Linked DNA regions of Neurospora crassa OR74A. The protein of the gene in region 1 interacts with the protein of each later gene in a pairwise test. Links are inferred from orthologs where the notes say so. Each region holds a gene or a part of one and is shown in the gene's direction. Other genes may lie near its edges. The genes, in order: NCU06149 and NCU09512.

Region 1 (4,394 bases):
CGATTACCGCTAAAACCAAGTCGATTTGGATAGGTACAGTGGGGCGCCAAAAAAAACGAACGTTTCTTTTTTACCCGCAAAAAGGGCCAAAACTCAACTTCTTCTACTCTTAATTTCTCAACGTGGTTTATTGCAAAACTCACTCCACGTTCTAAATAGAGATAACTTTAAGAGGAGATACTAATGCAAGTTGTCCGAAAAGATACACTCGAACGGGGGGCAAAAGCGTAAGTACTAAAGTCACTTTCCGAAAAGTATCTCAGATTCTATCCACTATAATGCACTCTAAATGCACTATAACCAAAAATCCTTTTCAAACTCTCATTTGAACAATTGTGATTACACTACTAAACCAATGAAGTCAATTTCATTTATATATCTGGGGAGTATAACTATTTAACTCTGTCCTCCTTTAGTGCATCTGCTTTTGAAAGGTAGTTGGCATGAAAACTAGGGAGTGATAGAGTTGAGTTTTGGCCCTTTTTGCGGGTAAAAAAGAAACGTGTTTTATTTTTGGTCCGGGACTGTACCCTTAAGGGGGGGCTAGCCTTTTTACAGTAAAGCTGGCGCCCAACTGCAAGCCATCTGCAAGCCCACTGTAGCCTCTGGGCGCTCAGAGTGGGTATGTGAACGTGGCTACACCTGGCACAAGGTGTGTGCAGGAGGCTGTCAGCTGTAGGGCGCTCGCTTACAAACCTAGATCGGGTAAGGTGGCCCGCCGAGCCCGCTAAAGGGGGAGCTAAGGGGTATCCAAATCGAATTGAAAAAAGCGGTACTACTAGACTTAGTCGAATGTACCTCTCTGTAGGTACCTATGTACATACTTGACACTGGGCACGCAAGACGGCAGTGAAGAGACGGGCATGATGTACACATTCATGGATCTGACCGTGCTGGAAAATATCGAACTGTTTTCCAATTGTCAAACTTTTTGTCAACTTTGATCATTACTTTGTCCAATTTCGGCTACCTACGTAACAAAGCCCAGAAGGACGTCCATGGACGGGATGTCGCCCGCGATATCCCACCAGTGCGCCGGATGACGTCGATATATACAATGTAGAGGTACGCTAGGTACACTGGGCCACCACCAGAACTACTATGCAGTGTACACTACCCAGGCCAACAGAGAGGAGGCACAGGCAGCGGTCATAGTGTAGGTACACTAGTAGAGGTATAAACCGAATTGCCCCTGAAGTGGGACTGGAAGGCGATGCCGCGGCCGACTTGTGGCCTATGAGTGGCGCCCCCCGCCGCCTTCCATTATGAGACGAGATACACTACACTACGCAGGTATGGAAATGGAGGTCCCGTTCGGTCCCGTCGTGGTGGACACGCTGCTGATTGTGCGATACACAACTGGACTGGAAGGCGCAGGCAGGGTTCGGCAGGGAACATCAAGGGAACACGTGATCCGAGACCCTTTCGGCAGTGGAGTGAACAGTTTTGACGAGGAGAGGAGACTGGACCTGGGACCTGGACGCTCCGGCTCCTTCGTCCACTCACTCGCCCAGTCCTAAACAGCACTGAATCATTCACGACTTCCGCACCGCCTCGCCTCGTCCAAGCTTCGGAAGTTTCCCTCAAACTCTCTGCCTTTCTGCCCCGCTTTCAGACGACGACCACCACCACCACCACAACAACGACAACACTTCAATCACAACAGAACAGAAACACTTTGAGCTCGCTGCAAAGCACCATCTCGTCCCACTCTCCCAACGGCATCGCACACGTCGCTTTGATTCGCCCTTCAGTTTTCACAGGCCAATCAAGTCCCAGCCGTCGACCCCGAATCGGATTCCTCGCAGCCTCTCCCACAAAAGACGTCGCTTGACTTCGAGGCATACAGGCAAAATCAAACGACTGAGAACGTCCTTGGTGCTCCCACACGCAACGAGCCTCCTCGCGACCCCATCCCCATCCACCGCCGTCTCATCTTTGCCCCACGACCGCTCGCGACAGGCCTCCGCCTCCGCCTACAAAGCTACATCTGTCTGGCTCTGCTCACCGTCAACAGACCGAAAAACAAAAGAGAAAGAGGGGATTCCCACCCACAACTAGTGCTCCTCTCCCCTTGTCAACCACTTGTCCATTTCGCTACACACACCCGGAGACGAAGCCATCGCGCTCTACGCTCTCCTTTCTGCAACATCTGAGCCTCGACCACGGGTTCCACAACCGAACAACGACCATCCGGCAAAATGTCCGACCAACTAGCGGATCAGTTGAAAGCTACTAGTCTGAGGTAGGTTGACCGCCTTCCCTTCTGTCCCAAACCCAGCTGACATGTTTTTGATAGCTCAGGCCCGGAAGACTGGAAAAAGGGACTTAACCTACCTGCCAGGGACACAAGACAACAGACCGAGGATGTTACAAACACGAGGGGTCTGGATTGGGAAGACTTCATACACGACAGGGATCTCTTGATGGGCATTTTCGAGGCTGGCTTCGAGAAACCGTCCCCGATTCAGGAAGAAGCGATCCCCGTTGCCCTCACCGGCCGAGACATCCTCGCACGCGCAAAGAACGGCACCGGCAAGACCGCCGCTTTCGTCATTCCCGCCCTCAACAAGATCAACCCTAAGGTCTCCAAGATCCAATGCCTTATTCTCGTTCCCACCCGTGAGCTTGCCATGCAGACATCCCAAGTCTGCAAGACGCTCGGCAAGCATCTCGGCATCAACGTCATGGTGACAACCGGCGGAACTGGCCTGCGGGACGACATTGTGCGTCTGCAGGACCCCGTACACATCGTCGTCGGAACACCAGGTCGTATCCTCGATCTAGCTGGCAAGCAGGTGGCCGATCTCAGCGAGTGCCCAATGTTCATTATGGACGAGGCTGATAAGCTCCTGTCGCAAGAGTTTACCCCCGTCATTGAGCAGCTCCTGCAGTTCCACCCCAAGGATCGTCAGGTCATGCTGTTCTCCGCCACTTTCCCTCTTTCGGTCAAGGATTTCTCGGACAAGAACATGACTAGCCCGTACGAGATCAACCTCATGGACGAGCTTACGCTCCGCGGTATCACTCAATACTATGCCTTTGTTGAGGAGAAGCAAAAGGTTCACTGCCTCAACACTCTGTTTTCCAAGCTGCAGATCAACCAGTCCATCATTTTCTGCAACTCTACCAACCGCGTCGAACTGCTTGCCAAAAAGATCACTGAGCTTGGATACTCGTGCTTCTACAGTCATGCCAAAATGGCTCAGCAGGCGAGAAACCGTGTCTTCCACGACTTCCGCAACGGTGTTTGCCGCAACCTGGTCTGCTCGGATCTCCTCACCCGCGGTATTGACATTCAGGCAGTGAACGTTGTCATCAACTTCGATTTCCCCAAGAACGCCGAGACGTACCTCCACCGTATTGGTCGTTCTGGTCGTTATGGTCACCTTGGTCTTGCTATTAACTTGATCAATTGGGATGACAGATTCAACCTTTACAACATTGAGCGCGATCTTGGTACAGAGATCCAGCCCATTCCTCAGACCATTGACAAGAGCCTCTACGTGTACGAGAACCCTGAATCGATTCCCCGGCCCATCTCGACCTTCAAGCCTATTGCCCAGCAGCCGCAACAGCAATTGCAGCAATCGCAAAGGCCTCAACAGTCTCAACAGCAACAGCATTTCTCAACACAGACACAGCCGTCAAACCAGCTCCCGCCTCAACAGGGCAACCAACAACTTGGCTTCAATCCTCAAGCTCAACAGCCTCACAGACCCATCCCCCAGGCCCAGGGTGATTGGCAAGGGCAAAACGGTCGCCAAAATGGCACAGGTGCTTCCAACAACCAACCCAGACCCACCAACTACCAGAACAATCGCGGGCAGCCCGGTAGCAGCCGCGGAGGTCGTGGACGTGGTTTCCAGGGCCAGGGAGGCCGTCAGAACCAGAACTACGGTGGTCAGCGCGGTCCTCGTACCCAAGGTCAGGGCCAGCCTCAGGGTCCACTGTCTGCCCAGTAGGGTAAACTCTCCCAACAAGTTTTGGAAGGAGGGGGATATGTGGTAATGTGAGGAGGTGTGCGACCATGCATCGCTTCCACGTTGTTTTGTCTTTGAATTGTACATATTAGTCGTCCTTTTTTTTCGGCCATCTCTTTCTGTTCCTCCCGAACTGTGAATGGGCTACCATGACGGCAAGTGTTGTCCCTCGGCCTGTCAGGTTTGCGTTTACGCTACGGCAGACTCGTCTATCACACTCTTTCTGCCGACCCTGCAAACAGTTCAACGACATGCACGGAACTGTACTACGACACATTCTCTTTTGGAGTTTGCCCCATTTCAAGGATTTTTCGATACGGTCCAGCTTCATCCTGTTCGCATTCACGGCTTACAACGCTTCGGCATGGGCGCGGAGTCTTGGGTGGTGTGGGGTTTATACGTCTTTGTTGG
Region 2 (3,567 bases), on another chromosome or scaffold:
GAACTCTTCTGACAGTAGATGTAACCGGTTTCGCGCGGTGCCAAAGACGAGATCGACGGGTGAAGTCCGCCGTAACATCCTCATCAGATAATCCACCTTGTGCTCTGCGCCAGGATTCTGCCCAAACCTGTCCAGCCGCTTGTTGGTCTTGTCAAAGTTCATCTGTCGCAGCTGAGACAAGTTGTCAGGCGTGAAGTACGGCAGAAACCGCTGCTCGGGAAAGAGGTTTACAGGCTTGACGCGGAAGTCATGCCGGTTGTGTTGGGTATACAACGGTTCCGTCAAGAACCGGGCCTTGAGAAATTCGGCATACAGGTCCGTCTGGCGCTCCCACATCTTTTCAGAGACGTTCATGTGGAACCAGATCTTGCGAGCCAAGAGGGGGTCCGAAATCGATCCGGCGCATCGCAGCAGGACTTTGTAGTCGGACAAAAGAAGGGGAGAACCCGAGCGGAATCGACGAAAGGCAGCTTCGTGAACTAGGGGGTAAAGGTCGGTGTTTCTTTTTCTGACGCCGTAATTATTGACCAGAGCCCCCAAAGGGGACCAATCGGCCATGGCTGGGTCGACCCATATGTCTCCTAACGGATCTTGGTCTTTGTGAACGGCTTCGACGGGGTCAACGGAGCGGAGAAGTTCGCTGAATGCTGTTGGTGGAAGTTGAAGGATCTCGAGTTTGTTCTCCTTGAAATAAGTGAGCATTTTGTGGGGTTGTCTGAAGGCCGCGGTGAAGCCGTCTATCCAAGGCGACCGTTTTGTCACAGGTGGCTTCTTTGCGACGACGGGTCTTGCGAGAAGGGTTCGGAGGAGGAGGAGCTCATCTTGCTCGAGGGGCTGTCGAGGTCCGTCAAGTTGGTGACCGAATCCATGGTGGGCAAAGTTGCCTGGGTATGGAATTGCTGAGATGGGTTTTGCTGTTTGGGTCGTAGAATGGGGGAGCTTCTGGAGCTTGTTGACGGCGGAGGCTAGTCGTCGAGATTTCGGAGAAGGAACTCGAACCCCACGACAGGAGAGAAGGGCAGCCATTGGGTTGCAAATTGGGGTTGACGGCGTTGTACACCACCCCCATTGGCGACTTTCGTCCGCAATTGAAGCTCGGCCGTGGTGTTGAAGGGGAGCTGAGTGCCCTGGTGGGCGTGCCTAGGTACTAACTGAAGTCGAGGTGTAAGTCAACCCCGCTAACTCAAAGAGGAGAAGTGCGATGGATCTCGCGATGCCCGCCTTTGCAAATCCGGGGAAGGCCTGTTGTCACTTTGGGCGCCTGTTCCTGCCAAGACCTTGCCCAGCCGAAGCTCTGGCATAAGCGTTTAAGAACCGGTCAAGCTTCCACTTCGGAAGCGGTCAGTGCGTCGGGCTGCTTCAGTTGCTCTTGGCATGCGACCAGCTGGCACTGACCTCAATTCGCACCGAAGCGAGCGCTTCCAATCGGGCAGGCATGGAAACCCCCCGCCGTCCGTCACTGGCACTGGACTCACTCATCATCGTTCCAGGGCGCTGCAGCTGAGGTCCCCGCCATCAACAACAGGAACACAACGCCAACTTCATTTTTTTTTCTCTCTCTTCACTCGTTATTTATTTTTGGCTCTTTTGATATCACACATCACACAAAATGGCCGACGCAGTAGAAGATGCCGGCTCTGTTTCCGAGCCCATGGACCTCGTCCGCCTTTTGCTTGACGAGGTTGTCTGCGTCAAGCTGAGAGGTGATCGGGAGCTCAAGGGCCGTCTGCACGTAAGTCCACTCTTATGTTTACATATCCCCTTTTCAGTCGTCACATCTTTCCCGTTACGCCTCACTCACCACCACCCGAACTCATTGCTAACTCGGATACTGTGATGTAGGCCTACGACTCCCATTGCAACCTTGTCCTCGGGGAAGTCGAAGAGACCATTTACGTCGTGGATGATGAAGATACCGAGGAGGATGACCTGAAGGTATGCCATCTTTTCACTTACCCACCGCCACTCTCTCGTCAAACCACCTCTCACCCCTTTCCCATTATACCCACCCTCCTTCCCCTTTCCTTCTCATACCTCGTTTGTCTTTTTTGCTTTCCCTTTCCGTCACTCTCATATACTAACAAAAAGGCAGACCATCTCCCGCAAGTCCGAAATGCTCTTCGTTCGCGGCGATTCCGTCGTGCTCATCTCGCCCTTTACCCGTTCTTGAGAAGAGGCCGTGTATGTGGAGCGACCAGTTGACGAGCACGATTTCCGCCACCGCTACGGCATCAAACCCTTCTCCGGTGGCCCGCTTGGCCAGGACCGGTTGCCCATCGGCAGGTGGAACTTATTGCACGTGGCGGATGAGGCGCAGTTTTGGGAGGGGGTAGATAGGGAAGAGGAGGAGCATTTGGAAGAGAAGGGAAAGGAAACGGCAACGGCGGAGGGTTCTGGACAGTCAGCAGCCGAAGGTTTGTCTCAGTGGGAGTTGGACATGGGTCGTCGCTAAGCCTACCTACCTAGGTGGTGGCTACCTCAAGGTCGAGAGGGGCGGCGCTTACAAAGGAAACCGGTAACCAAGCTTCGGGAAGAGGATAGGAGAGAGATACAAGGAGAGAAGTTGGCTTGAGATGTGACTATCACCGTCATCACATCACGTTCATCGTTTGTCGTTAGAGCCGAAAGATAGATCACGGCACAGATATACCATTGTTATTCCCGGCCATGGAGCATTGATAGCCAGGCAATCTCCTTCCTCCTGAGGAGGCTGAAAAGGATCGCTCGTACAAAGAATACAGTACGTTGCTCAAGAATTTTCATATGTTCATTTGAGAATACCTGTAGGTCACTCATCTTCCACCGACACATACAAAAGCCATATCGTCCATGATACTACTACTACTACTACTCCTACTACTACTTGAATATCTGCAAGTAGTGGGTCACCACTAGTTCTGTACTGTGCCCTGACTGCGCCGCTCCGTATATGAGCCATCAAAACGAGGAGATGAGGCCATGCATCAAAGAAAGTATAAAGAAAAAAAGGTAACGCGGCCCCCAACTTGGGTCATCACAACATCATCTGCCCAACGCCAAATCAGCACCAGGTGCCAGGTCACTAAGCACCAACCTTCACCTCGTTACCGCCACCCTCATGTTTGACATCTTCAACGCCCGCAGCCACCTTATCACCCCCTTCACCTACATTAACCCCGCCCAACGGCCGTTCAGGATCATACCCCACACTCTTGACGATACCCAACCCCTTGGTTCTGCCTTCTCTGAAGAGAAGTCTGTCTCCCGGGACTAGGTATTCGGGTCTCTGGACAAACCGAAACGCGACGGTAGCCCGATCGCCGGTCCTGATAAACGGACGATCAACGTCGATGATGGCGCATGTCTGGGAGACGGGGCCGACATGAAGCATGGCCTGGTATTTGGTTTTGATGGTGGTTGCGTGGGAGAGGATGAGGACTAGTGCACGTTAGGATACATACAGAATTTTTTGAATGGCACCAAGGGGCAGAGGAAAGTAAAGACAAAAGGAAGCGCTGTGTTTACTTACCTTCAGCAATGAACTCCCGATACACCTTCGGCGGTCCACTTTCAGTCTTGGAGAGCACC

Evidence for each region.
Region 2: the proteins of NCU06149 (region 1) and NCU09512 interact in binary tests that used the Saccharomyces cerevisiae proteins (3 or more experiments, as listed by UniProt). The link is inferred for Neurospora crassa OR74A from reciprocal best matches to the Saccharomyces cerevisiae genes DHH1 and LSM3.

The regions. Positions count from the first base shown.
Region 1 is NC_026507.1:1,628,923-1,633,316, forward strand, and holds the start of NCU06149 (ATP-dependent RNA helicase dhh-1), read left to right. Parts: upstream 1-1,492; 5' UTR 1,493-2,201; coding exon 2,202-2,245; intron 2,246-2,299; coding exon 2,300-3,965; 3' UTR 3,966-4,394. UniProt on the Saccharomyces cerevisiae protein: ATP-dependent RNA helicase involved in mRNA turnover, and more specifically in mRNA decapping by activating the decapping enzyme DCP1.
Region 2 is NC_026503.1:55,271-58,837, reverse strand, and holds NCU09512 (U6 small nuclear ribonucleoprotein), read left to right. Parts: upstream 1-1,445; 5' UTR 1,446-1,609; coding exon 1,610-1,732; intron 1,733-1,842; coding exon 1,843-1,935; intron 1,936-2,092; coding exon 2,093-2,170; 3' UTR 2,171-2,756; downstream 2,757-3,567. Other genes in the region: NCU09511 (hypothetical protein), read right to left, coding at 1-1,026; NCU09513 (GTP-binding protein 1), read right to left, coding at 3,062-3,417, 3,509-3,567. UniProt on the Saccharomyces cerevisiae protein: Component of LSm protein complexes, which are involved in RNA processing and may function in a chaperone-like manner. Component of the cytoplasmic LSM1-LSM7 complex which is involved in mRNA degradation by activating the decapping step.